2 linked regions of the Diceros bicornis minor genome follow. The protein of the gene in region 2 purifies or fractionates together with the protein of the main gene of each other region. This does not show direct contact. Links are inferred from orthologs where the notes say so. Each region holds a gene or a part of one and is shown on either strand. Other genes may lie near its edges.

Evidence for each region. Proteins that work in one complex are often made in the same cells at the same time.
Region 1: the proteins of NUP107 (region 2) and NUP43 purify together in Homo sapiens (affinity purification with mass spectrometry; 8 studies listed by BioGRID and IntAct, counting the BioPlex papers as one, with this or other methods). This does not show direct contact. The link is inferred for Diceros bicornis minor from reciprocal best matches to the Homo sapiens genes NUP107 and NUP43.

Annotation. Positions count from the first base shown.
Region 1 is NC_080778.1:28,160,791-28,170,752, reverse strand, and holds the start of NUP43 (nucleoporin Nup43), read left to right. Parts: upstream 1-5,633; 5' UTR 5,634-5,660; coding exon 5,661-5,780; intron 5,781-6,209; coding exon 6,210-6,332; intron 6,333-7,162; coding exon 7,163-7,240; intron 7,241-8,448; coding exon 8,449-8,629; intron 8,630-9,962. Other genes in the region: PCMT1 (protein-L-isoaspartate(D-aspartate) O-methyltransferase), read right to left, coding at 3,433-3,661. UniProt on the Homo sapiens protein: Component of the Nup107-160 subcomplex of the nuclear pore complex (NPC). The Nup107-160 subcomplex is required for the assembly of a functional NPC.
Region 2 is NC_080756.1:2,508,611-2,519,323, reverse strand, and holds the start of NUP107 (nuclear pore complex protein Nup107), read left to right. Parts: upstream 1-6,532; 5' UTR 6,533-6,674; coding exon 6,675-6,682; intron 6,683-7,332; exon of another isoform or gene 7,333-7,510; intron 7,511-7,990; exon of another isoform or gene 7,991-8,138; intron 8,139-8,339; coding exon 8,340-8,431; intron 8,432-9,204; coding exon 9,205-9,291; intron 9,292-9,923; coding exon of another isoform or gene 9,924-9,953; coding exon 9,954-10,069; intron 10,070-10,713. UniProt on the Homo sapiens protein: Plays a role in the nuclear pore complex (NPC) assembly and/or maintenance. Required for the assembly of peripheral proteins into the NPC. May anchor NUP62 to the NPC. Involved in nephrogenesis.

The DNA.
Region 1 (9,962 bases), on a different chromosome or scaffold from region 2:
TCTGCTCCCGTTGGAAGTAACCTACAGACAGAATGGGTGTTTGCTTTGTTCACTGCTGTATCCCCAGTGTCTGGCATTTAGAAGACAGTCAAATATCAGTTGACTGAATGACAAATCCTATAAACATTACATATGCAAAACGACACAATCAAGGATGCAAAGGAAACATAAGTAGAAATAAAGACGCAAACAACAATAAACAAACACAGAGAGAGAGATTGCATTGGTTGGTTACCAGAGGGTAAGAGGGGAGGGAGGAGGGCGAAAGGGATAATTAGGCACATGTGTGTGGTGATGGATTGTAATTAGTGTTTGGGTGGTGAACATGAGAACATGATGTAATCCGTGCAGAAATACAAGTATAATGATGTATGCCTGAAATTTATACAACGTTATAAACCAATGTTACTGCAATAAACAAAAAATTTAAAAAAAAGAAGAAATGATGCATTAGGGTAGCGGATTTAAAAAAAAATAGGTAAAAGAACAATTGTTAGCATTGTTTTAAGTGTCCCGCACAGCATTTGAAGTCTATTAGTTAAGAGCTGACCTTCCACAAATGGGACGCTTCCACAGGGGTTCAGACACCCCTGCTCTAGGAAAGGACCTCTCTCAACCTCACCCACTCCTACCCCCCTCTTTTCCTTTCACTACGGCTTGAAATTATCCCAAGAAAAGTAGAAAATAAACTCTAATATAAACATTATGTAAACTGTCACATTCCCTGGATTAAGTAGGCTCACAGTTGTTTTAAATTTAATTCGTTTCATGAGCACATTATCAGCCCATAATTATAAAACTATATTTTGCATTTCTATAGAGCTGCACTGTCCAATATGGTAACCACTAGCCACATGTGGCTATTTAATTAAGTTAATCTACATAACACAAACATCCAGTTCCTCAGTGGTATTAACCACATTTCAAAGGCTCATATTGAACAGCACAGACATTACAGAGAGTTCTATTGGGCAGGACTGCTATAGGCCTTTTTCCTAAAACTTTATTTTAAAGCATAAAACTGATTCAGCTGAAACACTGGCAGAATTCAACCTTGTAATTTTCAATTCTCTACATCAGTGATTCTCAAAGTGTGGTCCCTGGACTAGCAGCAGCAGCATTACTTAGGAACTTGTTAGAAATACAAATTCTTGAGCCCCAGCAATCTGTATTTTAACAACCTCTCCAGGTGACCCAAGAGATTCTGAAGCATGCTCAAGTTTTAGATCATTGTTCTAAGTTATTTCAGAGCAGTTGTCATCATAAGCTACGAGGTATTACAAGATGTACCATTACAGTCTAAAATATTCTATACATGATATATCAACTATGAAATCATACACAAGCATAGTTCTACTATGATGTCTTATAAAAGAAAAACTCAGTAGAAACTTTCAATAAAATTATTAAAATAACATTAAAACTAAACCAAACCTGAACTTCATGTCTTTAAAAAAAAAATTAAAACTGTAATTTGCTTCCTCTTCCAATTTGTAGATCCCTTTTCACTTCAACATCAACATTTCACATTTTAATTTTTCCCTAAAAATTCAATTAGAAGCTTTAAGTTAGGAAGAATACACAACAGTGGAATAACCTGGAAAGAGGGAGAAATTTTCAAATTTTATGCCAACTGAAATTTTCACATGAGCAAATGTTACTTTTATAATAAACTAATAAATAAAAATAAAGTCTATTAGCTAGAATTAATTCAGCAAGAAGTTGAAATTAAAGTTGCACAAGTGTTACAAAACAGGCTAAACAATTTGAGTACTCTAATTTCCTCTTACCAATCACAGACCTAGTATAAAACTAAATATTTGCAATACCAGCATGTATATTAAATATTTATTAAATTTTCAGATAGAAAAATATCCTTAGAAATTTCAGCTAAGAATGGTAATGCAATATATTAAAGTGATTATAAAACCACTGGGAAAAGATCTAGTCTTGGCTTACTACAAATTTGGCCCAAAAAAAAAGATTTTAAGAGCCTGATTGATTACAAATTCCTGCCACAGCCAAGTGGCTACTGCGATAACCTACTGGTGGAAAATTACTTAGTCACAATTCTTGTATAGAAGGTTTCCAGTAAGCACACCACAATATAAGGCAGCAGATCATTTTAAGAAATTTTATTAAAATATTTACAACATAATGAGCTTACATGCAATCCATAGGAATCTACATCACACTTCATAATACTGCCTCAGCATATAAATGTCCACTCCCAATCAAATATCCTTTCATAAAGTGAACACTGGCAATGCTCGACAGGATTCTGAAATCTAAATATTCTTCATTACTAAACAGTAAGGACACAATTTCCAAATTTTAAATATTGTAAAAAAAAAAAAGTCAAATGACTAATGTTAAGTATTAACCGTGTGCCAGACAGTACTATTTGTCGCTCATCTTACTATTCCTAGCACAGATCCAAGCATATAGTGTACATTTAATTGGCACAAATGAAAAAAGAAATGAGTATTAAGTTCTTTGATAGGATTCAAAGATATTTACAAAAAAAAAGTCCCTGCCCTCAAGGAGGTCACAAATCGAATTAGGAAACATAAACACATGAAAAGCTAAATAACATATGACACATAGCAGGATATGATTATTCGCAAGTTGTGGCAAAGAGAGTGCTATCAGCTCTGACCGGAGTGAGAGTGGTACGGATTGCGGTTCTTCTGGTCTCCCGACCAGTGGGCGACACTGTATTGCAACGTAAAAAAATAAAGTGACACAGCATTCACCCCACCCCGAAATGATCAGCAGAGGAAGGAATACAATAACCAACGAGAACGGTACAGGAAGACCTGCCGGCAAGGCTTGTAAAGCCCACGGGGCCTGGAAGAAGGCAGAGCATCCACATGCACGACTGCTGATTGGATCTCAGGATGAAACAAGCCTCCTAGGAACAGCATCTCCTGACCACTGCCCCCTCCGACCCCCACGAAGCCTGCCAGTGGACAGCGCCCCAGAACTTTCTCCAGCATCCGCAGTGACAATCCTCTCCCCTCCCTCCCCGCGCCGGTACCTCACCCGGAAGAAAGAACGGGGGGCGGGGGAGGAGGACAGGAGAGAGGGCGCTCCCGCAGCAGAAGGAAGGCGAGGAGGAGCGGGGGCCGGCCCGCATCCCCCACCCCGGGGCACGCCCCCGCCCGCCGGACCCGACGAGAGGCGGTGGACTCGAGTGACAGCCCGCCACCTGTGCCGGCCCCCCTTCCCGCGGCGCCACGCCGCCCCCCGCCCCTCTGGCAGCGGCCCCGGCCCCTGTCTGTCCCCTCCCGAGGAGAGAGAGTGACAGGTCCCGGGGGAGGCGGCCGCACGCGCACGCCGCCCGGGACGGTTGGTGCAACGCTCCGCCGCGGCCCTCCAGTAGGCAGCGCGGCGCAGACAGAACGTTCCGGACGGCGGGGTGGCACTTACTGCGGAGGTTGTGGATCAGCTCCGAGTGGCTGGCGCCGCCGGACTTCCAGGCCATCGCTAAGCACACCCGGAGCAGGAACAGAACGACCTTCAGCGCGGCGACGGTGCCCAGCAGCTTCCCCAAGAGTGAAAACACCTCCCACACAGTCACCGCCCTGCTCGCGTCCCCGATGTCGCCGCCGCTGTGACTGCCGTCGCCCCCGCCGCCGCCACTGCGCGCTCCCGGCATCCCCCGCGGCACGCATGCGCTCTGTGACGCCCCACCGGGGCGCGGCCGGGTGGGGGGGGGCGCGGCCACGTGCCCCGCCGCCCGCGCTGGTGGCCGCTGCGGCAGCCCGGCCGGGCTGAGTCAGCCCCCCGCCGCCGCGCGCCGTCTCCTTGCCGGGTGGCCTGCGGCCAGGCGGGTGGGCACCGGCGCGGCCGGGCGCGTGCCCGGCTGCGGCTCTGGTCACCTGGGGCGGTGGCGGGGCAGCTGGGCCGATCTGGTTCTGCCGCTGCGGAGGCTCCGCAGTCGCGCGGGGTCAGCTGCTGCGAGCGGCGGGTCTGCTCCTATAGCCGTCCAGATTGTTAGACGGTGGGTTTCCTCCGTCCTACCTCACCCAACCCAGTTGACTAATGCATAGGTCGGTTACCGTCTGAGCCTGATTAATCTTGGTAGAACCTTTTCTAACCCGGGTACTCTAGCCTCTGGCTTTGTGACAAGTCCATCAGTGTGTGGTCAGCAGAGACCTTGGGACCTTGGTTTGTTCTCAACTCTCAAGCACAAATTCAGAGTGGAAGAATACCATGACATATGGAGTAGGGTGGAGCGTGGGGGATGCTCTGCTCCTTAGCACAATGCAATTGGTTAAAAATACCACAGTATCCTATGGCGAATGTGTTATTCTCCCGACACGAGTGTGCCTTTTCAGCTAATTAAGCCTTCCGCTGTTAGACTGGACACCAGCTTTATTGCTATCAGCTGTGCAAGACAATGATCGAGAAGCTGACAGGGAACATTGCCTGTCGCATTGGTTGGATTAGGGCACTCCACTCCCTCTGGGTCCCTAGCAGTCTTCTCCAGGCTGAGAGCCTCGGGGGTCTGCTGCCTCCCAGGGTTCCTGGGCTGGCCCTACAGGGCGCACAGTCATCAAGAACTGCTTGGGGGAAGTGAGCTGTTTAGATATTGCTCTGGTGAGTAGAAAGTGGGCACTTGCCCCATTAATGCTTCCTGGCTGGTGGCTTCCATAGCACCCCCATCTCTGCAAATACACTTTACTTTGTAAAAGAACTTCCACTGGTGTAGAGTCTTATTTGACTCACCAGGAGGCGAGCCCACTTGGTTCAGTAACAATACGTCTTGAATGCAATAGGATTTACATTCTAATTGGGGAGATCTGCACCCAAAGAAAACTAGCAATAGAGGGCAAAATATAAGTGCTATTAGTGGTCTAGATATCAAGTGCTATGTTAATTTAGATCGCATGGGCTGGAGTAATAAGGAAAAGATACAGGGCAGAACTGGTCCTTGAAGGATGAGCAAGATTCTGAGAAGGAGAGAGGAATAAAAGGACATTATAGGTGTAATCAAAAGCAGAGAAGAGGGAACCTACAGCACCGGTTCCTGGGCTGTCGACGTTACATATCAAACTCATTCTTAATTATATTCATAAATGAATTGAGGAAGGTTACACAGCTAAGCAATGGGTGTCAAAACTCGAACTGGAGTCTTCAGAATTCCAACTCCAGGCTCTGACAGTGTATTAACAAGGATTTGTTTGGGGGATAAAGAGGGAGAGGTTTAGAACAATAAACTGGTCCGTTAATGGACGTACTTCCTTGACAATGTAAGGACTTTGAATCTCTTTTATGCGCAGTGAAATGCAAGACTGAATGCTTGGGTGTGGCTCTGAGGCGGCTTCTCTTGCATTGATTTCGTTTTGTTTTGGCTCTTCGGTTTGTTTTACAGTGCACGATTATCGCACAAATGCACTGTCTCAGTGTCACTACACTGAGCGTGCACATTAAGAGCAGGTCCTGTAGCACGAGGCCCGTACACTCTTGCTTCTGTTCGGGGTCGCCTCGGTGAGCAGGGGCTGGTGGCGCCCGCAGCGCCGACGGAGGAGGATTGGCTCTCCGCGGCCACCGTCCGCTCGTCGAGTGCGGGCCAATCAGGGCCGCGCGGGAAGGGGCGGGACCGAGAGGCGCGCGGCGCGCTCCTCGCTGTACCTGAGGCGGTCGCTGTCGCCATGGAGGAGATTTATGCCAAGTTTGTGTCTCAGAAAATCAGCAAAACCCGCTGGCGGCCGGTGCCTCCGGGGAGCCTGCAGACCGCAGAGACCTTCGCTACGGGCTCTTGGGACAACGAGGTACCGCCGCCTCATCCCGGTCTCCCGGACCGCGCCTGGCCCCAGCCTCCCTCGCCCTTCTCTGCCCCCGGCCTCCGTCTCGGTTGCCCTGCCTCTCGAGCCATCGACGGTGCGCCTGGGCCTCGCATCTCGTTGTGATTTAAACTGTCACCATGCCTTTTGTCTGAGATGCTTTTTTTTTATTTTTTTAAATTGATGTCATAATAGTTGATACCACTGTGCGATTCCACTTGTACATTATTATTGGTCAGTCACCACATATATGCGCCCCTTCACCCCTTGTGCCCACCTCCCAACCCCCTTCCCCCTGGTAACCACCAGACTGTTCTGAGATGCTTTTAAAGCAAGGTTATTTGAAGGCATTGCGAATTTTAATTTCCGAGAGGTTAAAGTAGATTTCATCTCAGGATAAATCTGTCTATTTTACAGGAAAATCGTGTTTCCCTGTGGTCTATTGGCGATTTTGGGAACTCGGACTCTGATGGAGGGTTTGAAGGAGACCATCAGTTACTGTGTGACATCAAACACCATGGTGACGTGATGGACTTACAGGTAAGTCTGTGGAACGTACGAAAGCTAACTTAAAGAGCGGAGAGTAATACATTGAGAGACGCAAAGGACCGTAAAGTTTGTCTAGACTCGCCCCGGTTTACAGGAGACTGAGTTCTCTATAGGTTATGATTTGCCAAAATCATGACTGGGGAAGGAGATGTAGATTTAAGCATAGTTTTTTAATCCTTTTTTTAATTAACTGACCTTCTGCTATGTGCCAAGCACTGTTCTGGGAGCTTTACATAAGTTAGTTTAATTCTCATCACATGCTTGTGAATCAGGTATTATGTCTTTTACCAGTGAGAAAACAGACTAAGACCTTTTGGGCATGTACTATGTGACAAATACTGTGCAAGGCACTTGACAGGTTTTGCTTTTTGAGTTCTCATAACAACCCCCTAAGTAAGGATTAGTTCTTTCCTCTTAAAGGTTTGCCAGGACTTAGAGAACTTAACTTGGCGACAGTCTCAAAGTCAGTAGTAAGTGGTGGCAATGGAATTAAGTTTTTAAATCCTGGTCTGCATGACTTCAAAGTCCTGGCAGTCCTGATTCTGTAGAAAGCTCCCTAACCCTGGAATGATACTTTTCTAAACCTTTACGGTAGTGGTCCAAAATTAAATCAATTATAGGTGAATGAGTTTAGGGAAAAAATTATTGTTATTTATTCTTCATGAAAATACTTTTATTTGTATAGCAGTTTTGACTTTCAGATCTATCATCAGATTTTATTTGCTTAGCATTTATAGCTCTTCACATCTTAAAATTGTTATACTACTGAGTTAAACTACTAATATTTCTGAATCTATAACGAGCAGGAATTTTCTGTTTAGTTTTTTGACCAGGAAAGGATTGTAGCTGCTTCATCAACAGGATGTGTAACAGTTTTCCTTCACCATCCAAATAACCAGGTAAAGAACTTTTTTTGAAAACTGAATTTGTATTTTAATTATTTATAGGAAGGCTTAAAGAAGACTGTACTTAATGACACAAATAAAAAGTTTTATAGCCTGAAAACATGGAGAGGAAAAATATCACCATTATATTACCTATCTTTTAGTAGATTAATTCTAGAACCATGTTTGTGTGAGCTTTTATTGAAATTCGACATCTCTTAAATAAATTCTGTTAGTTTAGAACTAACAATATGGTATTCTGGCAAGTGATTTTCCAGTAATTCTCTGTTTTAAGTTTCTATTCTAATCTTTTGAAGAAAAAAAGAGCACATTCTAGCTAAGGTATCATGAGAGAGAACAAGAACAGCTACTTTACTTCTGTGGATAGAACCCAGGTTTTAATTAGAAGAGAGGATACACTCTATGAAGACTTGGCACTTTTTCAATGCCTTTCGTGTATGCTGAAGCCCACAAGTGGTCACTTTCAAAGAGTAGCAGTGAGGGCAAATCTTTACAATAGCCCCACTTGTAGTAATAGTTTTCAGTTGCTAGAAGAGAGTGCTTATTTAGATTTTTGGATTAATAAAGGTCACCTTGTGGATAGGCATATGTAGTAAATATAAGACCCAGATCTTGTTAAATATTTTTCTGAATCGAGTCATTTAGAAAGCACTACAGGGAGTTATTTTTTACATGTAGGCTAATTCTCTTAAGAATTTAGAGTTACTTTTGAACACATGACTACCTGGTACCTAAAACCCATTTCTTTACTTTGCTATATTGGGCCAGCCCCGTGGCTTAGCGGTTAAGTGCACGTGCTCCACTGCTGGTGGCCCGGGTTCGGATCCCGGGCGTACACCGAAGCACCGCTTCTCCGGCCATGCTGAGGCCATGTCCCACATACAGCAACTAGAAGGATGTGCAGCTATGACATACAACTATCTACTGGAGCTTTGGGGGAAAAATAAATAAATAAAATTATAGTTTGCTATAAATGTGGGACATTATTGAGCAGCATTCATTTTGAATCTAATCCAGTGTATACAGAGCTTTGTAGAGTAGTTCTAGACTTTATTACTCGGAAATACAAACAAAAAAGGAGAGAGTTATTCTTTTTCTCGAAGGGTATGAGACAGAATTTAAAAATACTCTTGAGTTGGGGAAAAGTGCTAGGTGTTTAGAGCTTTGCTTTGGTTAATCATCTGCTCGTTTCTGATGCCCAGACTCTGTCAGTCAGCCAGCAGTGGACGGCCGCTCACTACCACACGAGCCCAGGCAGCCCCTCCTGTTGCAGTGCACCCTGCACGGGTATCGTGTGCAGCAACCCAGAAATTGTCACAGTTGGAGAAGATGGTCGGATAAATCTTTTCAGGGCTGATCACAAGGAGGCTGTGAGAACTATAGGTGAGAAAAACCATTATATTTCTTTCATCCATCACCTAGTAATTGAGCACCTACTATGTGCTGTGTAAACACAGTGCTGGGTGTTTTGAGGGATATAAAAATATACAAAGCAGGATCCCTCTATCAAGACAGTGTGGTGATAAGGCCTGCACGAATGAGTGACTACAGAGGAGAGAGAAACTTTTTTTCTGACTAGAGGGGATTACTGAATAAAGAATTGAGGGGCAGGTAGCAATTAATCTAGGTTTTGGACCATAAGTAATACTAAAAGATAGCAAGCTAGACAAAGAGAATAATGTGGAGGTGGGATAAGGCCATTAAGAGAACGAAAAACAGTGTAGTTTGTTTGACCTGACTTTAAATATTTATATAGAAGAGGTGAGCAATGATGCAGGAAAGGTAAATTGGGGCCTGGTCGTGAAGAGTCTGATGCATAGCTGTAGAGGTTACATTTTGTTAGGTGGGCAGCCAAGGAGCCAGTGCAAGTTTTTGAGCAGGTGGGGTGATAGACTCCCTGTCCTGCTTTAGAAGGATTATTCTCCTGTAGTAGTTCTCAACTCTGCTGCACACAGACTTGCCTGGGGAGATTTTTAACAGTCCACCACCCTAGACCTTCTGAATCAGAACCTCTGTGGTTTGAGCCCATGAATCAGTTTTTTGTGTTGTTTATTATGATTTTTAGTTCTGAGGAACACCACTTGTTTAATTGTTAAGGACCATTGCCTGGTGGTGGTTTGGAGGAGTGTCACAAAACAAAAGTCTATAAGTATATGCTAAATTATATGGTATAAGCTCTAAACACTCTAGGAAAAAAGAAAAGGACCATTATAACAAGCAGGAAGGACTTCCTGGAGGAGGAGAGAATTAATGAGGGTAAAGGTGGTAGACTTGAGATGAGTCAGCAGAATAATACAAAGGCAGAGTGAACTCTGGAGGAAGCACTGAGGTTTGGCCCAAGAGAATGGAGTCTCTGAGTTCAGGACTAGTGGGAAATAAAATTGGATATAGAGGAGCTTGAACAGCTGTCTCCAAAATGGAGGGTAACACTCTTAAGTGGAAATAGAGGAATATGTGAAAACTCAGCCCTCTGTTTGGAAAATAGTTCAGATGTCCTGTGAGTGATAGTATTTCTCTATCAAAGGAGAGTCCATTTTAATTTTTTTTTTAATTTTATTTATTTATTTTTTTTCCCCCAAAGCCCCAGTAGATAGTTGTATGTCATAGCTGCACATCCTTCTAGTTGCTGTATGTGAGACGCAGCCTCAGCATGGCCAGAGAAGCGGTGCGTCGGTGTGCGCCCGGGATCCGAACCCCGGGCCACCAGCAGCGGAGC
Region 2 (10,713 bases):
AGCTTTTCTCCTGTAGGTGAAGATCAAATAACACATACGAATCTTCCAGGGCACTGGCAGTTTTCGCTTCACACTTAAATATTTTGTTTCCTCCCCAACTCATGAACTTCCTCTTCTTGAAGTGTAACATTGTTTTCTACCTTTTTTACTGCCTGATCTATCCGGACCAAACTCTCATCTTGGATTCCCCCTAGAATACATGCAAAGGTCTGTTTCACTTCACATCACTGATGTTTAACTACTTTGCAATATCACTGCTGTTTATGCATAAAATGTTTGTCAAAATTTCATTCTGATTACCAAGCTCTAATACATCTTGAGCGGGAAGCTGGATTAAATAAAAAATCATTTTGGGTTGATTTTGATGCATATATACATATTACATATATGTCTAAAACTAAAACATTGCCTTGCACAACAATGTGAATGTACTTTATGCCACTGAACTGCACACTTAAAAATGGCTAAAATGGTAAATTTTATGTTATGTATATGTTACCACAATTTTAAAAAGTAAAAAAAGAAAAGAGCTGGTCGACATCAAGGGGGAAAAAAGAATAAAACATTGCCAACCAAGCACTAATATCAATTGGCAAGACGTAACAGTTTTACCTCAAAACGGGTTTTAAGTAAGGATATTTTAAGAAAATAATGGCCAAATTTTATTTGATTTAAAATATTTATGTATTCCATGCTATGATCAAATCAGTATGTTTGAATAGGTAAGTTCACACGATTTTTTTTTATAAGTAATGTTCTTTTTCCCCCAGTCTATCTCTCCCAGGTCCAATCACAGTGCCCGGTACATTGCAGACACTTAACAAATGTTTGTGAATGGATGAGTAAAGGATTCTTCAGGATTATAACCACTGAACTGCTTTATATGAAGAACAAAAGGAGACTTTGCAATCATATTTATATTTATCAATATGAAGTATTATTTTGAGTTCATATAGACAAGGAAAAAATCCTTCTGCTATTATTTCAGCATCATAGAAAAAAAGGATTGGAATTAGTTCAGTTCAATCTGTTACTAATGCCTCTATCGCTAGGTCTCAAGTTTGATGTTGCAAAATGAACTGATAATTATTATGAAAGTAATAAGATTGTTTGAAAAGGTATAATATGCCATTCATAATGCCCGGTACTCTTCTAAGCTTTGCACATATTAAATCCTCACAACAACCTTATGGTGTAGTACTATTATTACACCCAAAAAGAAGAAACTGAGGCACAGACTTGCACCCAAGTTCACACAGCTAATAAGTCGTGGAGCTGGGATGCGTCCCCAGGCAATCAAGTCTGGGCTTTTGACCACTTTGCTCTGTTGCTATTGTTACATTTAGTCCTCACAGCTACCCCAAGAGATTATTCTTACTTACACAGATGAGGTTTAGAGCAGTTAAACAGATGATAAACTGCAGAACTGAGATTCAAACCAGGAAATTTCTAAGACAGTGCTCCTACCCTCCAGGCAACATTGTCTCCTGAGCCAAGCCGTGTTTTAAAACCTACACATGGTGGTCGGTTCACGGTTCAGCCAAACACTGGTATTTGTATTCAATTCACGATTCACTATTTACTATACTTTTAGCTTGTGGTTCAATTACTTTAAGTCCATGATCTAAAGTAAATTATTTCATCTTTCTGCAATTCTGCTTCTTTAGATAAAAAGAACATTATGAAATTATAATAGCATGTTTGCAATGTTTTGAGCTCAAAGAAGAAAACTCGTTGTTGTTAGTGCTGTCGAGTGGATTCCGACTCCCAGTGACCCTGTGTAACCCTGCCCGGTCTCTCTGCACTATCCTCTCACCTTGTGGCACTCTATCAGACAATCCTCCTCTGCTATTCATAGGGTTTTCATGGCCAGTTTTTTCAGAAGTAGGTGGCCAGGTCCTTCTTCCGAGTCTTAGTCTGGAAGCTCCACTGAAACCTGCCCGCCATGGCTGACCCTGCTGGTATTTGAAATCCCAGTGGTAGAGCTTTCAGCATCAGAGCAACATGCAGCTGCCACAGTATGACAACCGACAGAAGAATAAAACTACTCCCCAAATATTAAAATAAAACTTAAAAAACCCAAGACCATCTCATATCTGAACAAACTGCTAATAATCTAAGTACTTCCTTTTGTTTTATATAAGCTGCAGTGTATCCTACAACTGTATTCAAAATTCTTCTATCTTTTGGACATGGAAAAAAGAATTAAGCACCTACCATAACTTAATTCACTAGATTCATATCTGACTCACTGGAATTCTTAATGAATTTATTAAAATATTCCTTTGAATTTCAATTGGACCATGCTATGAAAATAAGTTGCTTTAAATAAAACAATAAAATCATCTAGTTTCACCAAAGACAACCACAATCAACATTTGGTATGATCTTCATTCAGATTTTTTTTAAAAAGACTTCATTTTTTTAGAGCAGTTTTAGGTTCACAGCAAAATTGAGAGAAAGGTACAGAGATTTCCCATATACCCACCCCCCGTCCCCACACATCATAGCCTCCCCCCTTATCCACATCCCCCACCAGGGTGGAACATTTGTTATAATCAGTGAACCCACATTAACACATCACAATCACCCAAAGTCCATAGTTTACATAGGGTTCACTCTTGGTGTTGTACATTCTATGGGTTTGGACAAATATATATGACATGTATCCACCATTATAGTATCATACTGAGTGTTTTTACTGCCCTGGAAAACCTCTGTGATCTGCCTATTCATCCCTTTATCACCATGACCCCACCCCGGGCTTCAGTATTTCTTTATGCATTTTTACATTGTTTCTGAGCATAACGTTACATACTATATGACAACCTGTTTCCCTCATTTAAAGCAAAACAAACATTTCCAAATTATTACAAACTCTCTCTAAACAGCCTTTTAATGACTGCATAGCAGTCTATGATGTGGGCATTGGTTTATTCCCTCTCTGCCTCTGTTTGGTAGGAGTGAGGAACATCCGCCAAATGGCCACAGAATGTTTGGGGAACTGTAGTTGAATACAGCTGGAGTATCGAATTTGAGCTAGAGACAATGGCAAGACGATGCCAGACAGGCAAATGAGATGCTGAAGGCTGAGTCAAGTAGTTTGGAGTTAAAATTAAAATCAGGAGGAAACTGAAAGGTGAGTGACATGATCAGATTTGCATTTTTGGAAGACACTCTCTTAGCAATATGGAGAAAAAAGTGCAGTTGGAGGAGCTACAGTGAAGAGATGATGAGTCAGGCACAAGAAAGTAGCAGTGGAAATGGGAAGACAGATTGAAGATTTGGTAACAAAGCAGACGTGGGGAATGAGAGGAGAATCACTGATGGACCGATATTTATGAGATCAGCCCTGTGCTAACATCTGCCAATCCTGATTTTTTGTTTTGTTTTGTTTTGTTTGAGGAAGACTGGCCCTAGGCTAACATCCATGCCCATCTTCCTCCACTTTATATGGGACGCCGCCACAGCATGGCTTGCCAAGCAGTGAGTTGGTGCACGCCCGGGATCCGAACTAGTGAACCACAGGCCGCCGCAGCGGAGTGCGCACTTAACCGCTCACGCCACCTGGTCGGCCCGATAGACCGATATTTAAAGGGATACAACCCCAAGCAAAACAGATAAAGACGTCTACCCTTGTGAAACTTCAGTCCTATTGAGAGTAGATTCCAGATTTTTGGCTTGGGTAACTGGATGTCGCCACTTGCTAAGACGGCAAATACAGGAGGAGAGGTATGGTTGTAGTTGTGAGGTTGTTTCGGTGGGAAGTGAGGGAGGGGTAGGCCTGCTGGGTCCAAATTTAGAGTTAGCACACGTGACATTTCACATACTCTGTATCCTCAAGAGTGGGCACGTCCAGGAAGCAAGTGGGTGCAGTGAGTCTGGAATACAAAAGCAAGGCAGGGGTACAACTCCAAGCTGGGATCTAGTAGGAAGTAGATGGGCAGAGTTCTGGGGAAGATCAGTTGACGTTTAAGGGAAGGGCAGAGTTCAAGAGCCTACGGAGGAGACTAGTGGAGAGAAGCCAGAAGGAAGCAGAAGCCGAGTAAAGGCATGCCAGGGAGGGGCAGGAGGGTGGCAGCGAGGAGAGCGGTCTAGGGTGTCAAGTGTTCCACAGAGGATGGGGAATGAAAAACAAACTTCCACTGACAGAGGATCACTGGCGACCTTTTCCAGCAGTTTTCACTCAGCAGCGAGGGCGGAGGTCAGACTGCACTAGGTTGCACGGTAAATGTAAACGGAGACAAAAAGGAAGGTTACGCCTTCAACGTCTGCCTAAATTGAGCCCGATGTAGATGAATGATATTTGATATGATAAGACGCTCACACTGTTAAGTGAAAAAGCAGACTATAACACTCTTACAGTACGACCCCACTTGCTCCCCTACGGATTGCGGCGCAGCAGGCCACCCCGACAGAGTGGCGTCAGACACCATCAACTTGCTGGGCTCTGCGGGTCCACTGGACCCCACCAGGTGGTTCCGATGAGTCTCTCACGGGACTGTAGTCAGATATAGATAATGGAATCATGGGAATTTCTTTTTTAACAATGTATTTATTTTATTTATTTATTTATTTTATGAGGAAGATCAGCCCTGAGCTAACATCCATGCTAATCCTCTTCTTTTTGCTGAGGAAGACCGGCTCTGAGCTAACATCCATTGCCAATCCTCCTCCTTTTTTTCTCCCCAAAGCCCCAGTAGCTGTACGTCATAGTTGCACATCCCTCTAGTTGCTGTATGTGGGACGTGGCCTCAGCACCGCAGGAGAAGCGGTGCGTCGGTGCGCGTCTGGGATCCGAACCCGGGCCGCCAGCAGCGGAGCGCACGCACTTAACCGCTAAGCCGCAGGCCGGCCTGGGAATTCTTTAATTTCTCTATTTGCTTATGTCTGTTATCTTACCGTTCTGTAATCGCCACATCCATTGGATTTATGGTAAGAACACCAGCAAACAGCTCATCACAGTTTACCAAAACACAGGTTTGGCTGGGAAGAGCGCCGAGCAGAGACAGCTGGAAAGGACGCTTTCCTGTGAGGACGGAGGGTTAGGGGGCTTCTGGAACAGACACGCCGACCTCACGTGCCTCCAGGGCATCCAGTGAAACCCGGGCAGCTCCTGGGCAGCCTCCCGCGCCGCGTCCCTCCAAACGTTCATCAAGTGCCTGTCCTCAGAACACATCGGACAAATCCAAACTGAGGAACATTCTGGAAAAATTGGCCTGAACTCTTGGAAATATTAATGATTTAAAAGAAAAGTCTAGGGGACTGTTCCAAACGAGAGCAGAATACGGAGACGCGACAACCGACGCACCCCGCCCCGCCAGGTCCCGCGCTGGAGGGGGGCTCCGTACGGGCCGTTATCAGACAACGGGGCAGGTCTGAACACGTCGGTGACGGGACTCCGTCAGCGGGAGACGTTCCCGGCGCGTGTTTTACCGTACTGGGGGCACGACGTTTTGTCCTTGACTCGGGAAGTCTGAAGGCTTTGGGGTGAAGCGTCAAGACGGCTACAACTAACTTGCAAACGGCTCAGGCAAAAAAGGGGAGAACAGTCGTGGGGCGATGTTAGCAGTGGGGGGGGGGCCAGGGAGGAGCGCATCGACGCCTGTCGTGCTGTCGCTACAGCTTTCTGTAGTCTCCAAGTTTTCAAAACGAACAGTCGGGGAAGACAAGGTCACGTCTGCTCCCCTCTGCTGTGGGGGCGGGGGGGGCGCAGGAGAAGGGGGGCGAGCGAGGGGGCGCTCTCTCCACACGGCCCGGCTCGGGGCGCTACAGGGGCGCTGTGGGGGTGGGGGGGGGTGGGGGGGCGCTCGGGCGCCGCTTCCTGGCCTCTCCTCCAGCTTCTGAACCATTCCGTGGGCGCCGGACAGGCTTCTAGAACATTCTCTCCTCCTCCAGGTAGCCGCAGTGCATGTCAGGAAACGCAGGGCCCTACAACGAGGCTGGGATGTACACGACGCGCACCACACAGGAGTTCGTCCCATAGAGCTTTAAGGCGCTGACATGACTACATTTTGAAACATTCGCTGCGCGTGTGCTGACTGTGTAGACGTGACCCGGGCCCCTCTCCAACAAGCGCTGCACATGAACTAACGCTGGCCAACGCTTTGCCCCAAAGCTCGTCCTTGCTAAAGAGGAGCCCTTTCTCCTTAAGAGGAAGACACCCAGTGAAGACAAGGAGCCATCACGGTAACAGCTCCACAGACACGACGCACACAAGCGAGAGCCCCTGTCCCCGGCCCCGGCCCCTCTCACAGAGAACACCCGGAAGTGACTGCACGTCTTCCTGGACCGTCAGCCGACGCCGTTTCCCATAGGACACCCCGGCGCCGGGGCCACGCCCACACATGTCAGTCAGGCAGTGGCGGCGGCGCGTCACTGGCCCGGCCCTGCCCCGGCCCGGCCCGGCCCGGCCCCCCGCATCGTCTTCACACGCTAGCACACTTTCGCGCCTGCGCAGGTCGGATCTGCGGCTGCAGGCGGAAGAAGGTGCGCATGCGCTCGATGAGAAAGTTGGTCGCCGTCCCCCCTCCCCCCACGTCTTTTCTCTACGGCGGCTTAGCGAGGACATACTTCCGGGTCGAAGGATTTGCTTCCGGAGAGCGGGAAGGCTGAAACGCGGTGGCTAAGCTGGAGCCGAGACTGCAAGGCTCTCGGTGGGGCAGGCTGTAGCCATGGACAGGTCAGTTGCGGTGGTGACGGCTGAGCTGGGAGACTTGTCCCTCCTGCTTGTCAGCAGAGCGAAATAGGTGACCCCCGACGCGCAGAGGAAGCCGGGAGGGCCGGGTGCTGCCCAGGCCTCCTTCCCCGGCGGGGAGACTGCAGCCGGGGTCGGGGGGACACGGCTGGCCACAGTCCCCGCGTCCCCGCGGCGGCTCCGCCGTCTCTTGTGCTCTTTCTCCCGTTTCCCGCTCCTGGGGGGCGGGGTGGGAGGAGATGCTGCGTGCCCTGCGAGGTCCCGGCCAGTCGGCGAGAACGGGGACCGCAGCCCAGGCTTGCTGACCGCAGCTCCAGCAGCGGACAGCCACTGACTTGAGTTCTCTGTGACCCTGGCGCTGCTAGCCGCCTGCGACGCAGATGAGTTATGCGAGTTCTTGTGTGGTGCGGGAGACTACCGCGCAGCACGAAGTGAGAAGTGTTTCCTGCTGCGCTGTGGGGGGAGACGAGGGGGCGGTTTCAGGAAGACCTCCCAAAGGAGCCGACTTTCTAGTTGGTCTTTGAATGATAATAGCAGCCGACATCGAGTGTCTTAAACCCTTTTCGTGTAGTATTAGCTAATTGAATCTTCATACCAGTCCTATGAGGATGGGTGCTACGATCCTCTTCTCATAGGTAACACTGGGGCTGAAAGAGGATAAGGAACTGGGTCAAGGTTAGGAAGCTAGTAAATAGAAGAACCAAGTTGCCAGCCTGGCTGTGTGTCTGCAGACTGCAGGAGGCTGTTTGATGAGTAAGCAAGTGTTCACCAGGTGGGCCAAGGGGGCAAACATAGGCCCCGGTAAAAGAAAAGGTAAGAATATGAAACTGCATGCTTTGTGTAGCTGAATAGTCACATGCTGTATATGTTTGTATGGGGGTGATGTTTGTGACTGAACTGATAAGTTTGAGGTCAGGTGTAAAAACCGTGGACTTGAGTCTGTAGGCCAGAGGTAGCTATCTGAAGGATTGAAGTGGAGGAAAAGCATATTGGATTGTTGACTTAAAATACAAGTCTCCTAATTCACACAGTTTATTTTGTAGATCTTGGTCTGAGAGTGACAGGGGAGGGCTGAAGCATTGTGACCACAATAGTGCTGAGACAGGAGAACCCTCAGTGTACTCTGGGGAGAAATAACTGGAAGGATCATTTCTCTCCAGTTTACTAGAATTGGTTTTTTACTATCTTCCCATCTCACCAGCTCAAACAACAGATTTTTTCATAGTACCTATGGTTTGAAGTATCTTGGAGACTATAGGAGATCCTTTTAAGAGATTGTTCCTGAAATTTTAGGGAACTCCTCAATCCATCAGAGGAAAGATTGACCTTCGTGAGGCGGTTATCTAAAACAGTGTTATAATATAGATTCCAAGTGTTGAAATAATTCCAAAGGAGAAAATACCACAGTGAATGCCAGAAAGTCAGAGAAGCCTTTGTGCAGGTAAAATTGGAGAGAGACTTGGAGGGAGAAGCAGGATTTGGAGCCAGAAGGGTATTGTCAACAAAATGATCAAAGACTTGGCTCCTGGGATGATTTGTACCTTGACTGACTCAGGGTTCTTTGCTCCAATCATGATGATAAAGTTCTTTGCAAATGCTGCATTCTGATTTCATTTACATGAGCTTGATTATGCCATTTTAGGAGTGGCTTTGGAGAAATGTCATCCCCTGTGATCCGGGAGGCGGAGGTGACACGGACTGCACGGAAACAGAGTGCTCAAAAAAGAGTTCTAAGTATCCTTTGTGCTTTAAGCATCATTATTAAAAAAACTGCAACATGTTTGGAATCAGGATTATAGATTTTTTGTGTGTGAGAGGTATTAAACACTAGCTATAATAATAAAATGCTGTGGAAATTAGTTTTTTCAACTCTCCAGATATGTTATTTGGCAAATATAATGCTGAAATTCAATGAAATTAAGATTTATGTTTTCCTGAAAATAAAGATGTTCCATTTTACTGCTATCATATTGTGGTTAGCTTCTGCTGAGATTAGACATCTTTTTTTTATTTGAAATCTGACTGAGAACTCTTAGTTCAGTGTGTAGTAATCTTAAGACTGATATCTGGGGCCGGCCTGGTGGCGCAAGCGGTTTAAGTGCACGCACTCTGCTTCAGCGGCCTGGGGTTCGCAGGTTCGGATCCCAGGCGAACACCGACGCACCACTTGTCAGGCCATGCTGTGGTGGCATCCCATATAAAGTGGAGGAAGCTGGGCACAGATGTTAGCTCAGGGCCAGCCTTCCTCAGCAAAAAAATAAAAGAGGAGGATTGGCATCGGATGTTAGCTCAGAGCTGATCTTCCTCACACACACACAAAAAAGACTGATATCTGAGAATTTAAATCGTAGAGGGAATTATTTACTCTTGGCATAGAGAAAATGGTAGCCATAAAATACCTTGGTTTTGAAAAATGTATTCACATATTTTTTATAGTGTAAATATGGTTAGTTCTAACTTGAATGGTGTCTTTTCTGCATGGAAAACTTTCTTAACTCTTCCCACAGTTCGGGCATCCCAAGATGAAATTTTTGCCAATACTACACCAAGAAACCAGGGTATCCCTCAAACTCCCAGCTCATTTCGACCACCCTGTAAGGTTTTTTGCTTTTAAAGCATTTAATAAGAATAATAATAGCAGCTAACTCTTATAATACACATAATAAATATAACATTTGGTTGCAGTATCAATAATTAAGAACAATAACAATGATTGTAGTGACTATTTGTTGCACTCTTAACCATGTTTCAGGCACTGTACTTACGCAAATGCACGGTAACTATGACATAGGTATTATCTCTATTTTGCCAAAACTGAAAGTAAGACTTAGAGAAGTTAATGCAGATAACATAGCTAAGTAAGTATGTAATTAATGGAACCAGTATTCCCACAGTGATCTGCTTACTCCAAAGCCCATGACCTCCGAGATATACTGCCTCCTCAGTATGCTTTGTAAAATAGAATCCATTGACTCACTTATGTCCTTGTTTTAGTGCTCAGTTATGTTATAATGGAAACATCTCTATTTGCAGTAAAATTTTCCTAATGAGCTCAGTAATACCAAAAGCTCAAATTTAGGAAAATAAGTTAAATCTTCATATCATGGAAATATTAACATTAAAGTATTTATTTGGTTAGACTGTAAATAATTGAAAACGGAAAATTATTTATTCTTTATTGTTTGTTTGCTTGTTTTGTTTTCATGATCAGTGCTCATGCACTTTGGGGTTCTTTTTACTAACCTCTTGTTTGTAGTTACTCCACCGAATCGAAGCTTGCTAAGGCAGCCGGATGTCTCCTGCATTCTTGGAACAGGAGGGAGGTCTCCCCGGCTTACACAGTCTTCAGGGTTCTTGGGAAATTTGTCTATGGTATGTAGAAAAATGGGGCTGAATTTTTCTCCCTTTTTATAAAAATATGTAGCTTAAAAGCCTTTAATGAGAATTGAAGTCATATTCATCATAAAAGTAACTAGGTTATATGGCTTGAAATAATTTTTTGGTCAGACTTTCAGAAAACTGAAACCCTTAAGCATCTCATGTCACAGGTTGAAGCTGTGACACCAGCAACATTTAGATGCAGATAAGGTGTTAATCTGACAGTTTGCTGATCAGAAGAAATAAATTCTGAGTGGTTGCTGATGACTATAAAAGCTGAGCCCTGTTTTGAAGCATAGAAGAGTAGGAAGCCACGAGTATTTGGTGAAGAGTATTATAAGGAAGAGAGACAATGCAGTAAAGGAAAGAAAAGAGAAAATTTTGGAAAAAGTGGATGAGACATTCTTTAGGAATCACTATGGTACTGTATTTAAAAGAAGAAAAGTCATGTAAACTGTGGTGCAGAATGACTTGACCCAGGTGTTTAAAATACCCAGTAGGAAATGAAAGAATTGTATCTAACTAAGAAGAAAACAGAAGAGTTTTGTTGGAGTAGTAGAGTACTATAGCACATTTAGTTCCAAAAACAAGATAAAAACGGTTCTCCTGTATTTGGCTCTATGCTTATTAAAAAGGCA